Drosophila melanogaster: one gene and its partner. The protein of the gene in region 2 interacts with the protein of the main gene of each other region in a pairwise test. Each region holds a gene or a part of one and is shown on either strand. Other genes may lie near its edges. The genes, in order: Lrch and Jig.

The links.
Region 1: the proteins of Jig (region 2) and Lrch interact in a two-hybrid assay, tested with the Drosophila melanogaster proteins (one large-scale study listed by BioGRID).

The regions. Positions count from the first base shown.
Region 1 is NT_033779.5:17,381,010-17,385,997, forward strand, and holds the start of Lrch (Leucine-rich-repeats and calponin homology domain protein), read right to left. Parts: upstream 3,107-4,988; 5' UTR 2,774-3,106; coding exon 2,461-2,773; intron 1-2,460. Other genes in the region: CLIP-190 (cytoplasmic linker protein 190), read left to right, coding at 4,622-4,886. UniProt on the Drosophila melanogaster protein: May play a role in the stabilization of the actin-rich cell cortex during cell division.
Region 2 is NT_033777.3:14,559,205-14,562,223, reverse strand, and holds Jig (Jig), read right to left. Parts: upstream 1,290-3,019; 5' UTR 1,243-1,289; coding exon 766-1,242; 3' UTR 703-765; downstream 1-702. Other genes in the region: CG14854 (uncharacterized protein), read left to right, coding at 2,177-2,233, 2,290-2,328, 2,434-2,522, 2,588-2,963.

The DNA of each region.
Region 1 (4,988 bases), on a different chromosome or scaffold from region 2:
ACAATTTCCTGCTGTTGATTTTTCGCTTCACTCGATTGACTCTTTCTTGTGCCGTCCTTTGTCTAGGTTTTTGTTTATGGTTCTGTTTGATTTGCGTGACACGCGTGTTAATTAAACGCCCCAAAGGAATGCACAAAAGTGTGGCTACCTCCCACCCACACCGCAACAACAAATGATTTTAGGAAATGCTGACAGGCGCCTGCCCATTCCCCTTAATTTCATGCCATTTCGGGGGTTGCAAATGGCATGCGTGCAAATAAAGAAAAAAGAAAAATGGTCGGTGTATACACCCCCCCCCCCTCCCACATTTTTTCTGTTTCAGTTTCTTTGACTTTCTTTTGCTTTAGAATCATCGATTTCTTGGAAACTCGAAACCCTTGTGGTTGCAAGCCATTAAGGCTAAGAGCCGTTGCCACCTCTTAAAGTCCACCGCCCCCACTTGCGAAAACCCTTCGCCGAGGGTGGCTTCATTGTTCTCGAAGAGGCAATTTGTAGAGGTTCTTCGCTAGGGTGTATTTACAAATATTTTCCCCAAAGATTAACCCCTAACGAGAGGTTCAGCGTATCTCAATATTCCCCCTGTTTTCTATTTTCCACATGTCCATTCACACCAAAAATCCAGCATTTTAATTAGTAATTAGTCACGCCTTCGCAGTCGATGACTCAATTGCTGGTGAGAAAACGCATGAAACTTATTCGAAAATGAACGAAAAACCGGAAGCTCGTTGGCTCTCCATGTGGGGAAGGGTTTTCCAAAGAAGAAGGGATCGTTTCCCCATTTCGAACAAATAGCGCGTGGCCATAAGTCACGGATTGTCACAGCTTAATTCGAAAATCAAGTCACGTAGGCGGAAAACGGGGAGCGGAGTGGATTGGAAGGAAATTAAAAATATGTTTCCTAGGTTAGGGGGAGATTAAGTTTTATCTCTTTAAACACTTCTAGTATCCTAAATTTAATTGAAACCTTCCGAAATTTGTTACGTACTCTTTTCAATATCGAAGTGCATTGTTCAATTCAGTTTCATTAATTAGTCAATTTATGTTTGCTTTATAAAAATGTAATTTTAATTGAATTAATGGTAGACAAACTGAGAATTTTGTTTATTTTTGTTGCTCTTCAATTCCGGTATTATCCATCATCCAAGGCACTGGCTAAGTGGAATTTTTATTGAATTCTTTCCCTATTCTTTTACCAAATTAGTTTTCAATTTATGACACAATTTATTTTTATCTCTCTTCCACGGCAATTAATCTTCGCAGTCCAAAAATAAAAAGTTTCCTTCTATTCCAGACATTTCCACCGAAAATACATCAAAATACAGTGCGTCCTCTGAAAGGTGACATTCCACGTTCATAATAAGTCTTAAAATTAATAATAACATCTCATAGTTGGAATTTACTTTGTGTAAGTAATTAAAAGAAATAAACTAAAATAATTTTGTAGTTTATAATCTGTCTCGTTTCAATGAACATAATCTTCGATCTGTGAAGTATTGTTAGATGGAAAATTGCCATATCTCGCTTTTTCAGCGATTAGAATGACAACTAACCTTATCTACGTATCCTTTCGCCTTTCAGAGCGTTTACTGTATGTGTATACAACAAACACAAGTGAAAATCGATGAGAGACATGTCCCGTTGTGAGAACATCTGTTCGAGGGTAGCAGCAGCTGTGAGAGGGGGCGGGGTCCTGCGAGAGGGCGGTGAATTTTCTGGGTGGGTATTTCCCATTTACTATTTCTCCGCTGGTGCATATTTTTTGGTCCTAACAAAAACGAAAGTTGGTTGAACTTCGACAAAATTTTCGTGCCGGCTGCGGCGAAAATAAAAATAAATAAGGATAACACGAATAGTGCAAAGTGGCGAAGAGCGAATAACGGCGGTAATTATTGTCCTTGAGCGCAGTCCGAAAAGGGAGAGAATGGGAGAGCCGCAGAGAGAAAGAGCAGCTGATGGGAGGACAGAAAAGGAGGAAAAGGATGAACCTCCGACGGCTGCTGCAAATTATTGATTTTCAAGCAACAAAAGGAAAATTCGCCACTGCAATGGAGATGGAAAAACTTCGTTAGCTCACCGGCAACAAACCTCCTTTGCTTAAATGCCGCACCCTAAAGGTATACACATACGCCAAACATTTTCGATAAGCAACTAATTTAATTGCTTTATCAGTACTTGTACATATGTAAACTCTACTTTTACTTTTTCTGACGTCAAAAGAAAACTTTATAACTAACAATTTTCTAATCAACTTTAATACCATTTAACTTTGTAATATAAAAATGTATGCTTTTTCCAATAAAATGTTATTAACTTCGTACATTAAGTATTATTAAGAACAGTTTAAACTTTACTTAGGAAGTAATGAAAACCCAATTTTTTCCGGAGCTACGAAACCGGCTTGAAGAACACCTTTTCTTTGTTCTCCCTTACGAATATACACTATACAATAGCGGTACGCACCTGCGATGACAGTGTCGGTAAGTGAGTACTTCGTTCCAGTCCTGGGAAAGTCCTTCAGCTTGCGATTGGTCAGGATCAGTTCGCCGCTGAAGTGCGCTTCTTCCAGGATTCTTTCCAGGGAGCGCGTCAGCTGGGAATGACTAAGCAGGGCAGACGAGGTGGAGGAGGAGGTGTTTCCAGCGTGGCCTATTCCAGATCCCGATCCTGTTCCAGATCCTGGAAGGGAAGCCGACCCGCTGCCGATGGCGCTGCCAGCGGCGCTGCCGACGCCGACTGCGACGCTATGTAGGCGTTGGTAAACCGTTGCTGCCATTTCCCGTGTAGGCGTGGCGACACTTCCACACACTTGCACACACACACGCACGCGCTAAACTATCACACCGATAAGGAAACGGAGTGAAGTGCCGAAAGAAACCGAAACTGGAAACTAAATTTGCTCTATTGAAACGCACGCATCTCGATTATTTTTCATTTAGTGTACGTCTTCTTGGCTCATTGATAAGATTTCTCGGAATTGGATTTTCCTTTTGCGGCTTCCTTCTTGCTTCCTCTTCTTTGCCTCCTCGCACACACGCGCACTCACACACGCACAAGCTCACGCAGCAGACGAGCGACAGTGCACAACGAAAATCGAAAAACAACTGAATCGGTTTATGGGATGCTACTTGGGCAGCGCTGGAAACGTTGCTGTTAGTTTAAAATCGGCGTGCCTTTGAGTACTATCGATAAAATACCACAGTGCGCCGATGATACACTGGCTCCATTTTTATCGCAATTCGAAATGTCAACAATCTTACATTTTATAATGTAATGTAATGTTTGTTTATTCAGAATGATCTACCGTTTAGCATTTGCCCCTTCAAATTTAGGGCATTATTAGATTACTGAGTCGTTATTACACCGAAACATTTCATATAACTACTTAAAGAAAAAATGAACAAATGACCAGGTAACCTGGTATTGGAACCCGGCAATAAACTGGTTGAATATTAAAAAACCATGTTAGACTAAATTATAAATTCGTTAATTTGTCAGTTGTGTGGGCTCAGATCACAAATCTGAATAAGCTCAGCGACGCTTCCATTATTGGTGACATAATTTCATATTTTACATATTTATATTCACGAATAAATATTCGCCAATTTCCTACAGGGTGTTTTTGTATGACCGCATTACTCTAAAAATACCTCGGGAAAATATAGCCGCAACTATCGATTGGCGCGCTGCACTGGAGCTGTGCTACCATCGCTAACTCAGTGCAACAACAAAATTCCAACGCAACGCCAACTAAGTGCAAAAAAAATCTAAAATTTGTGTAAAATTGTAAAATCCCAATCGCGTATATTTCTAAATCGTATTCGCACAGCACAGTATGTAAAGCACTCCAGTTTATTTAAGTACTGTGTGTGTGTGCGGTAAACACACACCAATAAGAGTGCGTTTTCGCGTCCCTTTTCCCACCCTCTTCTAATGGTTCCCTCTTCTATAACTGTGTCAAATCAGCAGCAACAATAAAATATAGAACAGAGCTACAGCGTGCGTGTGTGTGTGTGTGAAATGCACAAATTGATAAGCAATTTGATTCAATTTAATCTTGTTTAAGTCTGATGAATATCAGCGCAAGCAGCCCAACACAAAATTATAAATAAAAAGTTACGAATTTATATAAATAGAATACCCTTGAGTGATTTTGTTAGTCGCATAAAATTAATTCAATACATATTTGTGTTCCGCATTTTTTGAAAATATAACGAAGTTCTGGCCAACGAGAGCAACAACAAAAAGCGGTCTTGTTTGTTTTTCAAGCTCAACGAAAAAAAGAAGAAAAGAAATCTGCTCTCAGTCAGCTGTTTTAAAGCAGCCGCCTAAGTGCGAGTGAGATAGCTGCCTGCGCGCCAAAATAAAGCAACAACAAAAGTGGAACAGTGGTTCAAAACCTAGCTAAAAATAAAAAAAATCCATTTATTTTTGTAGCAAAAATATAAAATAAAAGCAAATTAAGCGAATTATACATATATTTGTTAAGGTAAGTGATCAGCATTCCATTTATTTTACCAAAAATTATTCTTTTGCACTTGTTTTTCCCCCAAGTTTTTTAAATCGTTTACTTTTAATACGCGTGTGTCCTAATAAGTGAAGATTATTAAGAATAAAGTAAAAAATGAGTGATGATACGAGCGCTTCGGGCGGGACAAGTGCCCCTTTTCCATCGCCAGTTACTGCGGACCCGGAACCAGGAGCCACTGCCTCCAAATTACCGGGTCCCATCAGATCCAATATTCCCACGCCCGCTACTTCTGGTACCGGAATCCCGCAGCCCAGCAAAATGAAGGCACCATCTAGTTTTGGATCGACGGGTTCTGTTTCCAAAATCGGAAGACCGTGCTGCAATCACACAACTCCCAAATCCGGTCCACCACCAAGAGGTAAGTCTAATCGCATTGTGCAACAACGCAAACCAGTTAGTATTATTGCTCAAAGCAAATATGTTACTAAGAGCAGTATTTTTGAAAGTAGTTAAAGGTCTT
Region 2 (3,019 bases):
CGATCATATAAAATATTAGACATTGTTTGCTGCCAAATCGTAAACTATCGGCTGTGAATCCAAGTTGAGAAATGAACTAGTTTCACCTATTTACTCAAGAATAGAAAATGAGTATATTTTAATTTATCTGATTGAAGCCTGGTTTGACTTGTATTCATATATGATAAAACTCTCATCAGTTCGAAATATACATGACTTAAAATTTGTCAAAAATGGTGAATTTTTTCCTAAGTGTATGTATGTTATTAGAAATGGATGACTTCTTCTTTAATATTTGCCTTGTACACTATTTGCTATTGAATGTGTACCCACAAGATGATCAATGCCATCTGTGGATAGTTTTTTGCTTTTCGGTTGAAGGTTGTGTTTGTTTGTTGTACAATACAATTAGTTTAAATGGTTTCAAAATTATTTTAGAATAGAAATAGACTTGAACTTATTTGTGAAATAGATTTTCTTTATACATAAAACAAATGATTTTATCAAAATAAAGTTTTAATTATTATGTATTTCTGAGGTGAAACTATTAACTACCCAATAAAAATTTTTTCAAAGAGATATACTTCACGTTGTCGTTAAAGTACCAATTAGAAGAGATATTTTTAATTTTTGTAATAATATTTTTTCTCCTTTGTTTGAAGACAATATACTTATTTCTACACAGCGAACTCTTAAAAATTTGTTCAAACTATTTTTGTTGTTGGATGCTGAATATAGGTTTTATTTAGTATTTTTTTTTAAATTTTATAAAATCGAATGTTGGCTTTAGCCCGATTGGTTTTGCCTCCTGCGCCTTTGGGCCCTCCTCCTCCTCTGGTCCCTCCTCCTTTGTGCACGCCTCCTCCTTTGAGCGCGCCTCCTGGCCGCCATCCTCCTCCTCCTTCTGGCCACAGCAGCCGCGTTGTTTGAAGTGGGTGTGGAGTCGCTGGGCGACGTGGAGTCACTAGGTGAGCTGGTCGGAGCTGGAGTGACAGTGCCGCTTGGCGAAGTAGGCGTTGTAGATCCCGCCGGGGTCGCATCGGTGCTTCCTCCTGTGGTGGGTGTCGTGGTATCTGTTCCATCTGCGGGTTTCGTAGTGGTATTAGCGGCCTCAGCCACGCACTCCGGATCGCTTGGACTGGTGGTGCAGTCGATGCATCCAGTGACATTGGGGTCGGCGGTGCAGGTCACCGCCTCGCTACTCCTCAATAGGCAAGCGACCAGGACAAGAACTCCTGATAAGATGATCGATGTGGCCCTCATTTTCAGATTGATGGTGTCTTCGGATGGTAGCACGGTCTTATATACCGCTGTGATGATTCCAGGTGACTTATAAAACCAAAGAATATATGCAAATTTACCCAACTGGTGCTATCAAATGATTGTTTTTTTTTGATATCTATTGTATCTATATAATTGTACAAGAAGATGATAGCTAACCAATTGTCATCTGCTGGTGGGGACTTTTGTTGGAAATATATACTTGTTCAATACGTTTATCTTATACAAATAATTGCCAAATTTATTCAGCTGTTCCTATCGACTTTTGGCTTATTTCTCCGAATTCTTCACTCAGAACTTACCCTGATCGGCGTAGTTATTAAAGTTATTAAAGGTACATCACAGGGATGTCCCATCTTCAGAGTCCATTAAATATCTCAATCATTTGGGATTGTTAAGTGCGGCGGATGCAAGTCCATAAATAGTTAATATGCTATTTGTTTAGGTACAATAATCCCCTGTTTTAGATTCATGGCTTTTATGGCATAAATCCAAAGGTTTTCTTTTTATAATACATAATTGAATGCTAGTTTATGCAGCTTTCCATTTGCCAGGCACAAAATAAAGGCAGATATTAATGCAGAAAACTACCAGGCAGAAAGTTAATAGCAGTATTTTGCACTTTAAGCTCGCACTGGGTTAATTTCCCTTATTTGCGGGTATCAAAATTTTATTTGAGTACAAAATATGTTTAAATTTTAGATTCGCGTGTAAGATTTACTTTATGACTTCCCAATTGTTTGGTTGTTTTGTTTTATTTTATAATTATCATGACGTCACATCTTACATCCAAGCGAAGCGAGAACAATGAGCGTGAATATTTTAAATTCATATTTCGCAATTTAACGTAGATGCGCTGACCAGCTCTGATTTTTCAGTTAGTTTCGCTTTTAGCTGATCAGCGAACGGTTGAGCCATGGATTTGTTTAGCTCTCTGCTGCTGTGCCTGGGAATTATTTCATTACCCAATGTGGTAAGTACTTTGTGTAAATTGTTTTTGCACCCTATAATTTTTTAATGCATTTTTAGTTTACGATTTGCATTCCGCCCAATCACTGCATTGAAGATGTGAGTATGATACTGGTCTATTTAAAAACACAATTTAACTTGAACTAACACAATCTATAGTTGCTAGTCCTCCTGATTAAACACACTTTATTTTCTGTTCCACAGATGGAGGAAAGCGATGCGAAAGAGCGATTCGACTATGTACTTGGCAAATATGAGGAGGTGGAAATGAATATTCCCGGAAAACCAGTTGGGTGAGATGAACTTTAGCGCGTGTTTGGTGTTCCACTAATTGGCTTTTCATTTCCACCGCCGGCAGTTTGTATGGGAAAGTGGTTACGCATGGCGAGGCGGAGGAGCAGCACTTGGTGTTCCAGTACATGGACAATACGCTGCATGACATCATCCAGACGTGTGCGTTTGTGGTCAAGCGGAATCCCGGTGAGTGCGAGAACATCCGCACCTACTGCTCGGCCTTTCTGAGCCGCCTGCCACGCCCCCTGCTGGAGCGCAAGCCCATCAACGTGTGTGACGATGGGACGCGAGTGGCGGAGGACGAGCCGGAAACGGAAGCGGAAGACAATCCGGATGCAGATGCTGAGGGGGAGACTGATCCGCAGCAGGAGCAGGGAGTTGGTCAAGCGGAGACCACAACAGCGGAGCCGGCTAGCTCCAAATTAAGTGAATTTTATTGAGTGGGGTGCAATGTCATCCGGCGGTTTGTTCATTCATCTCGACATTTAAAAGACAA